Linked DNA regions of Bombyx mori. The protein of the gene in region 2 interacts with the protein of the main gene of each other region in a pairwise test. Links are inferred from orthologs where the notes say so. Each region holds a gene or a part of one and is shown on either strand. Other genes may lie near its edges. The genes, in order: serine/threonine-protein kinase polo and hybrid signal transduction histidine kinase I.

What was found.
Region 1: the proteins of hybrid signal transduction histidine kinase I (region 2) and serine/threonine-protein kinase polo interact in a two-hybrid assay, tested with the Drosophila melanogaster proteins (2 studies listed by BioGRID). The link is inferred for Bombyx mori from reciprocal best matches to the Drosophila melanogaster genes ko and polo.

Annotation. Positions count from the first base shown.
Region 1 is NC_085121.1:12,624,881-12,629,159, reverse strand, and holds the end of serine/threonine-protein kinase polo, read right to left. Parts: coding exon of another isoform or gene 4,188-4,279; intron 3,455-4,187; coding exon 3,228-3,454; intron 2,625-3,227; coding exon 2,488-2,624; intron 1,903-2,487; coding exon 1,721-1,902; intron 1,249-1,720; coding exon 1,115-1,248; intron 953-1,114; coding exon 840-952; intron 742-839; coding exon 547-741; downstream 1-546. UniProt on the Drosophila melanogaster protein: May play a role in regulating both nuclear and cytoplasmic aspects of the mitotic cycle. Regulates localization of the augmin complex during mitosis by ensuring its location on mitotic spindles.
Region 2 is NC_085128.1:3,239,378-3,243,212, forward strand, and holds part of hybrid signal transduction histidine kinase I, read right to left. Parts: intron 1,490-3,835; coding exon 1,262-1,489; intron 705-1,261; coding exon 648-704; intron 1-647.

The DNA.
Region 1 (4,279 bases), on a different chromosome or scaffold from region 2:
TTAGAAATATGTAGATAGAAATCAAATCATTCCCTGAAATGGCAAAGTCAGTAAGTTTTGCATCAAATGGAATATAATATGTATTAACAACCAAAGACACATATTTAAAGAATAAAAAAAAAAGTCGAAAGTTTTGCTCATATACTGAATCGGCAAAATAATTTGATGCTAAATCATTAAAAAGTATTTACTAAATAAATAGACAGTATCGGTGGATTTTTAACCTAAGTTTGAAATTTTAGGGTACAAAATTGATTTTAGTGACCCTTCTATTAAATTATAATATACTGGTGACTATCCTAAAAATACAAAAGGTAATATAATTTTTATTTTAGAAAAGTAGGAGACCCTAGGAAATTTAAGTGTAAAGATTTTTTTTATCAAGTACAGACTATCTCAATCAATAAGAACAGAATGATGAAAATTTGTAGTGATTTCAAACTTTTTTGCTATTTACATAAGCAGGGTCTCTTGGTTTACACAGTTCTTCATTGGAGCTTTCCACAAAGCCCACAAATTCATTTACTCATTTAGGTTCAGTGAAAACTAGCACAGTTTGTTTGCCAATACACTGTTTAGTTTTTCCAATGCATATGTGAGGTTTGTGTAAAGCTTTTTATCACAGCCATGCTCTTCAATGGTATTAAAGCGGAATGTTCTGAAATTCTTCTCTATATCTATGTAGGTGACAGCTTGCATAAGTGGACACAGTATTATCTTTGTGTGATCTTGGAAGTTTATCTGTAATATTAGAAAAAAAAAACAATCATGATGAGAAAGAAATATAACAGATCAATAAAAATTATATGCCAACAGCATTAAAATATAATTCTACTAACCTGTAAAGTTCCATTAGTCAGGTACATAATAACAGCTAAAGTTGTTCGAAACCACTGGTGTAAATGTGGCAAACGAGACAGACCATCACTCTCTCGCACTGGTACTGAAGCACCTGGATAATGGTAAATTTATTTAAAAGCGATAACATTGTTGTTAAGTATGAATACATTAGTTACTCATGCCATAAGAAAACTATTGCTCACACATTTTGTTTTCTGAATATTCTATTTGATTTATATGCTTTAGTGATGACAATGGATGTTGAAAAATTTACCAGCTTTCATGAGATGTTCGGTCATGTATCGTCTAAAGTATGTAAGGAGTTTCATTTTTTTGTCGAGTTCTTGCGGGTAATCGCGCATCGTCATGTACTGCTCTTGGCCCTGCCGATTGATGTAGTGCACATTCCTGAAAAAGGATAGTTTATGCAGATCTCCTTTTATTTTTTCAGATAGCAATATGAAGATTTTGTTGCTTGCTAATCTGCACATTACAGTCATAATACAAAACAATTGAGAATCACGCCGCAAGGAATATGCTATTAACATATTATGATGTCTATGGATTCTTATCACTTGTATAAAAAAGTGTATTGCGAATTTTTTTTCTTCAAAATATGTTTAAAGTTTGTGTGAGCTATGATTTGATTCTAATTTTGAGTGTGCAATGCATTCGTTTTATGACATATTATACTTTGATTCTCATTATAAAGATATAAAAAAAAAAACTATTTTAAGCTTTAGTGATTCGAACGTGATTTCGAATTTTAGTGAGTTCGAAACTGTTGCAAGCGCCTGTTGTATACTACTATAATATAATATAATTAAAAATATGTATATCTGATATTATCATCTAATATTTATATTAAACGTAAACTTACAGTCCATTAGCGAGCATGATAAGCTTGGTAGTATCGTTGAACATGACACCGACGCTCTCGTCGCAGAGCTGGTATCCGAATCCGTATTTGTCGCTGTAGTCGACCCACTTGCCAACCCACACCAGCGGCTGTGCTGCGGGATCGCTCAGCTCGTCTGTCAGAGCCTCCGGTCGGCATTTCAGCTAAAAGTTATAGAAAATGCCAACATACAGTCAAACTAGTTGTTTATAATTAAGTTACAAAAGTTCCATAAGATGAAGAGTTTATCAATTTATTTCTACTTATGATAAGGTTATCAGCGTATACCAGTTCATAGCACGGTCCTGCCCTATTTCAAAACTAGAGCCTATTAAATGTTATTTAGACCATAGGTATTTTTTCTCATCTATACATATAAATAAAATTGGAGTGTCTATTTGTAATATTGAAATAACCGCTTTTTACTAAGCGCATAATATGAATATATATACGGTACATATACCAAAATAACATTTTTAACAATTTTTGTCGGTCTGTTTGTTCCGGCTAATCTCTGGAACGGCTAGACCATTTTGACGAGACTTTCACTGATAGGTAGCTGATGATATAAGGAGTAACTTAGGCTACTTTTTTAAGACTAGCTTCGCCCCGCGGCCTCACTCGCGGTACGACAATAACCGCGGGTAACATCGCGAGACTCAGCTATTAATTAATAATAAAATTTAATGTTTCCGAAGCGAAGCGAAGGCGGGTCGCTAGTATTAATATAAAAAAAAACTATATTTTACCTTGTTAACCAACAATGCAGCGAGCTGGTCTCGCAGTGCAATAAAATTCTGGCGGTGCGACGTTGGTTCCACAGCTCGTGGCCCCGCGGGGGTAGCTTCGCGTTTGACGGGCGAGTCCACTGCCATCGTCTCTTGTTCTATTCAATTGAAAGTACGTATTATAAATGTCAATTCATTTATGTTGAATTTTAAAGTAGCTAATTATAAAAGGAGAAAAATGCTGCTTTTTTGATTCTATGAAGATTTTGATGTGCATAAGTGCTCCTTAATGAATCTTCTATCTATCTATCTATATATATAAAAATGAATTGCTGTTCGTTAGTCTCGCTAAAACTCGAGAACGGCTTGACCGATTTGGCTAATTTTGGTCTAGAATTATTTGTGGAAGTCCAGAGAAGGTTTAAATATGAAAATGCTCAGAATTGAATAAAAATAACAATTTTGTTTTTCTTTGATGTGTACCCCGTCAAACGGATTCCTTTTGTTTGTTTTAAGTTTATTTTATGCAAAAGTTTAGGTCTTTTTTTTATTTATCGATTGAGGCACTACGAAGTCTGTCGGGTCATTAATAAAGATCCGCGCATATCCGACATATTCTTTAGTGTTCATCGTAACTGCGATGATATTTTACCATTTAAAACTATAATTTCTTTAATTATTATTGAACTCTCCCTCATCAATTTATGAGGGAGAAAGTCTCGAAGTCTAGCCTGCGATTAAATAAATTACAATATATGCACCGTTAGCATGAACTTCGTTAAGAGGGCGGCGGTGTACCAGCATGCCCTCGAGCTGGTCAGTGCGCGGCGCTGTGGTGAGGCAAGAGACGGGCAGCCCGGCTGGCAAAATCCCCGATGAGAAGAATTCATGCTGCAGAAGTTTGTCCACGGACGGACGACGCGCAGGGTTCGATTGCAACTGCAGTACAATCATGGACGCCGCCGGTTTGCGAAGCGACGACGGAATCCTGAAGATATATTTGATTGTTCGAGATCGACAAACGTGAAGACCAAGGGAATTGTTATATTAGAAGGCCAGAAGAACAGTAGTCATAGAGCTATACCAACAGGGATGTCAATTTTATAACACTAGGCCTGCACCAGACTACAACACGAATGATCACATTGTAGTCTGGTGCCTGGCTCTGGTTGACAATCGAGTGAAGTGTTGGCTCTAGTGACCAAATTTCTCAGTTAATAACAAAAAGTTACTTTAACTCTTAGAATTAGGAACTCTATATACAAATAGTATTATTTTCCTAATTCAGTTTCAACATATTATATAGTATAGTAAGTAGTACATAGTTTGTTTTATAATATTGCGTTATTAATAATTCCTAGTAATAATTTTAAACTTAGTGCTGTTTTAAATTTTAATGATTGAGATTGAAATACATTTAGATTCGAAATTAGAAACATTTTTTACATTACTAAGACTAAGTATGACTTGTGTTGTAAGTTAAGCAGACGTTAGAAATATCCACAATACATAAAGCTGCACATCATGATCACCCTTCACCCTAGTTTGATGGTGCAAAAGTCAAAATATGGCACTAATGTTTGCCAAATAGTTTATAGAATCAAAGGAATTTGGTTGGATATTTTGAAGTCATTTTAAAAGGAAGAATAAGCGTTAAGTAATTTTATGTTGACAAATATATATTATAAAGTGCCATATTTCTCTAGCACCCCATGATGCACCTGTATTGTAGTTTGAGGGTGTTATCGTCGATTAACGTTCGCGCGTAGCGACTACGTAAATGGTTCCAAGGGCCCCCGAGACAAACGCGCAT
Region 2 (3,835 bases):
CGCAAACTGAAATAGCCCCTTAGGCTACTAGCGAATTGGCAGAAAAAAAATTGTAAGCTCAAATAAAAAAAAACATTATTCGTCATAATGACGATGAATTAAATCTTATACCTTTAAACGGGCAATCTCGGAAACGGCTCCAACGATTTTCATAAAATTTAGTATACAGGGGATTTCGGGGGCGATAAATCGATCTAACTACGATTTATTTTCAGAAAATGTTGTTTTATTCGTGTTTTCAATAATCAGCTTTATCGATAATCCACTTTATGACTCTTCCCGACATCTATTGGCGAATAAGAATACTATTTTTACTGCTTTAAAGACACGACAAGATAGCGTTATAAAAAAAAAAAAGCCGAGCAAAGCTCGGTCATTATCTAGTGACATACTTAAATCGGCATACCATTATTTGGATCGAAATTACGAATAAGAAATCTCATATTGAAATTTTGTTATAACTTAACTTAAAATTAGAATTATGAATAGAAATATAAAAATAGAATAGAATTTGTATAGTAGTAGTTTGCGAAGGCCACACCCGTAGGCGGGTAACCAATTTTGTTTCAAATCCGCTTAAACTTCGTTTTAAGCCAACGCATTAATAACTGGTTAAGTTCAGTTCAAAGCACGTCATGCATACTTACCTGCTATTTTAGCCAAGGGCGTACCTACACAAAAAGTGCATTTGATATTTGGTGAATCAGTAAATAAAATAAAGTTAATAAATATAACATTTCTATATACATAAATGTGTTATAAGAAATTATGCGTAACCAGTGACTTCGTTTGCTTAACTAAAAAATTAACTTATAAAGTTTTTTCAGAACATATAAAATACTATTTAAAATATTACCTAAGAAGTCGAAGATCAAAGCGCAAACTCAAGTTGAGGCTAAACATATCTTTAGATAAGTACTGAAAGAAATGTGACTGGTCGACTCGACTTGTGATCATTTAATTCAGTGTGTTTTTATGAACCTTTTATTCAATATTACCAACCTATCTAGCGAAAGTGATCCAAAGGGTCGCTGCATTCTTAAGAATCAATAGTGATTTAATACATAGGCACTTTTATAGGTTAATATCGCGTTTAATTCATAAATAATCAGTCGTCCTTTCCTAACACTTCGAAAAGCGGATTTTTTTTAAATGAATACAATAAACTAATTAGGAAATAGTCTACAATCATGCCGACGATTGAAGAAACTCCTAGAAAAAACCAATGAGGTTTGTATTATGTAGTTTTTAATTAACTTACTAGGCGACGCGGACTCAACACTAGGCGGATAATCGGTGGAAGAAGAGCTGTCAGTCGTATTAACGTGTTTGTGATGGAGACTCCTGGTAGAGGCGCAGCGCTGAAGGTACTTGCTGGAAGAGCCGAAGATGCGGAGAGAGTGCCGCCGGTCCAGAGATCTTGGGGCCGGGAAGGAAGCGCTGCGACGTTTGTTCGGTCGACCATATAAAACTTTGTCGTTTGGATTGCCTGAAAGTAATAATAAAAAATGTTAAATATGTAGAATGGGGATCGCAGCACATAAAGTAAAAGTTACACTGTTCCACACTCTTCTGTTATAATAATTGGTCACGCGGATTTAGTAATGGGATGCTAATGAATTATTGGGATGGCGCCACCTTTGGAGTTTGTCAGTAACTAATTACCGCGACTATCCAAAGCGTGGTTCTACCCGATCGATCACGCTTTACCGCTAGCTGCCTAGATGGCGGCACTTGTATATTGTGTGGTGCTTGAGCTTACGAAAAGCTACGTGAGCTTCGTCACCCCCTCCCGCCGCCCGCGTGCTTCCATCGCCGACGCCCGCACGACAGTCACTGGCAAGGTCTACAGGTGAGTGCAAGTTCTTTTAATTTATTGCCATTTTATTGCTGTTTCCGTGTAATCATTCGCCCGCCCGCTCGCTTATGTGTATTTAATTTATATCTTTAGTTTGATTACTAGCTTTTGTTTACCGCTATATAGTTTTACCGCTCCGCTAATTATAAGTGACAAACATTTGTCACATACCGCTTAGGACGGCTATTTACACGCCTTTCTACAACCCCGCTTTATATGCTCCCGCCGCAGGAGGGCTATTTACACGCCCCCTTGCTACCCCATAGTTTGGTCCTGCGAGCCTGGATTAGATCCAGCTTAAATTTTAATTAAAATTAGGATTAATTTATGATTACCCCCATTCGCCATTTTGTTACAGTATTGTATTGTATGTAAAAATTAATTACATTCATCGCTATTAGTAATAATAACTCGTAACCGCATATTGAATTATATTTATTAACGTAGTTCATTTAGTGTTATTTTTTAGTCAGTTATTTCATAACTTCATTATGGAAAATAGACAACTAAAGAAACTTATCGCGAAGAATAATTTAGTATTTGCACAAATTAATGATTTATATAATAAATCAAAAAATATTTCGGAGTTTGATTCGGAATTAATTGAAACTTTTCTTGCCGAATCAGAATCGATTGATGACATGCGTGTTAGATTTGAAAGCAATTTGGATGATATCAATGATTTAAATTTAAAGCAAAACCCCGAAGTTGAGCCTGAATATGCAGCTTTATCGTCTTTTGACACGTTATATAATTACGTAAGACGCGCTCGTAACAAAATTACAATTGGTAATTCGTCAAATGTAATGAGAACTACCGCCGCCATAAATGTAACATTGCCAACAATTTCACTTCCTTCCTTTGACGGACGCTCTCTTGAAGGATGGGAAACATTTTACCAGGCTTTTAAAGCTAACATCCACGATAACCCGCAACTGTCTGATGCGCAACGTGTGCAGTATTTAATGGGCAAATTAACACATAGTGCATTAAAGTTAACCGCTGGTATAATACCCACAGGTGAAACTTATAATATTATTTGGTCGAATCTAATTAGTAAATATCAGGATAAACGAGCTTTAGGATGTCATTATCTGAATAATATATTAGATTTAAAAAATTGTTCACCTACCGCAAATAGTTTAAATATGTATATTGAAAAAATTTCATCTTCGATTGCCGCTTTAAAACAATTAAATTTACTTGATTTGACTGATTTTATTTTATTACAATGCTCACTGAGAAGGTTGGATCCTCAAACTTTACATTCGTTTGAAGCATCGGTTCGTGGTATTGAAATACCCACAACTGAAATGTTTATTAAATTCATACAGGATCAGATAAAAATATTAGAACGCTCTGCACCGAAGTGTAACATAGAGAAATCTAAAAATCACAAATCGTTTATTTCTAGTAGTTATAATGACCCAGTCCGCACTGAAAGGGTTAACAAACCGGTTTCGTTATCTACGTGCGATCTTTGCTCGAGCTCGCACCACACGCAGTTATATCGTTGTAATGAATTTAAAAATATGATTTCACCGCAAGCACGTTATGATTTTATTAAATCGCACAAGGGTTGCATCAATTGTTTAAGCTTATCGCATACATTAAAAGCATGTCAATCAAAGTTAACATGCAATAATTGTAAGAAATATCATCATACTTTGTTGTGTTTTGGTAATAAACGGGCGAATCGAAAAGGTAAAAGCGTACCCAGTCCATCGAATGACTACGCTGATATGGACAGGCAGGTCAGTCGGTCGCAGGTACATGGAATTCCGAGTGATGCCGCGCGGCCCGATTACGGTCGGTCCCAGGTTCAATCTCAACCTGTTGTTCAGAGTTACGATCATCATGATGCCGCTTCGAATACTTGTTTACACTCTAACAGAACGATACAACAACAAAATAATACGACCGCTACCACGTTGACTCACAGTTCGGAAATAAAATCGAATAGTAATATTTTATTAT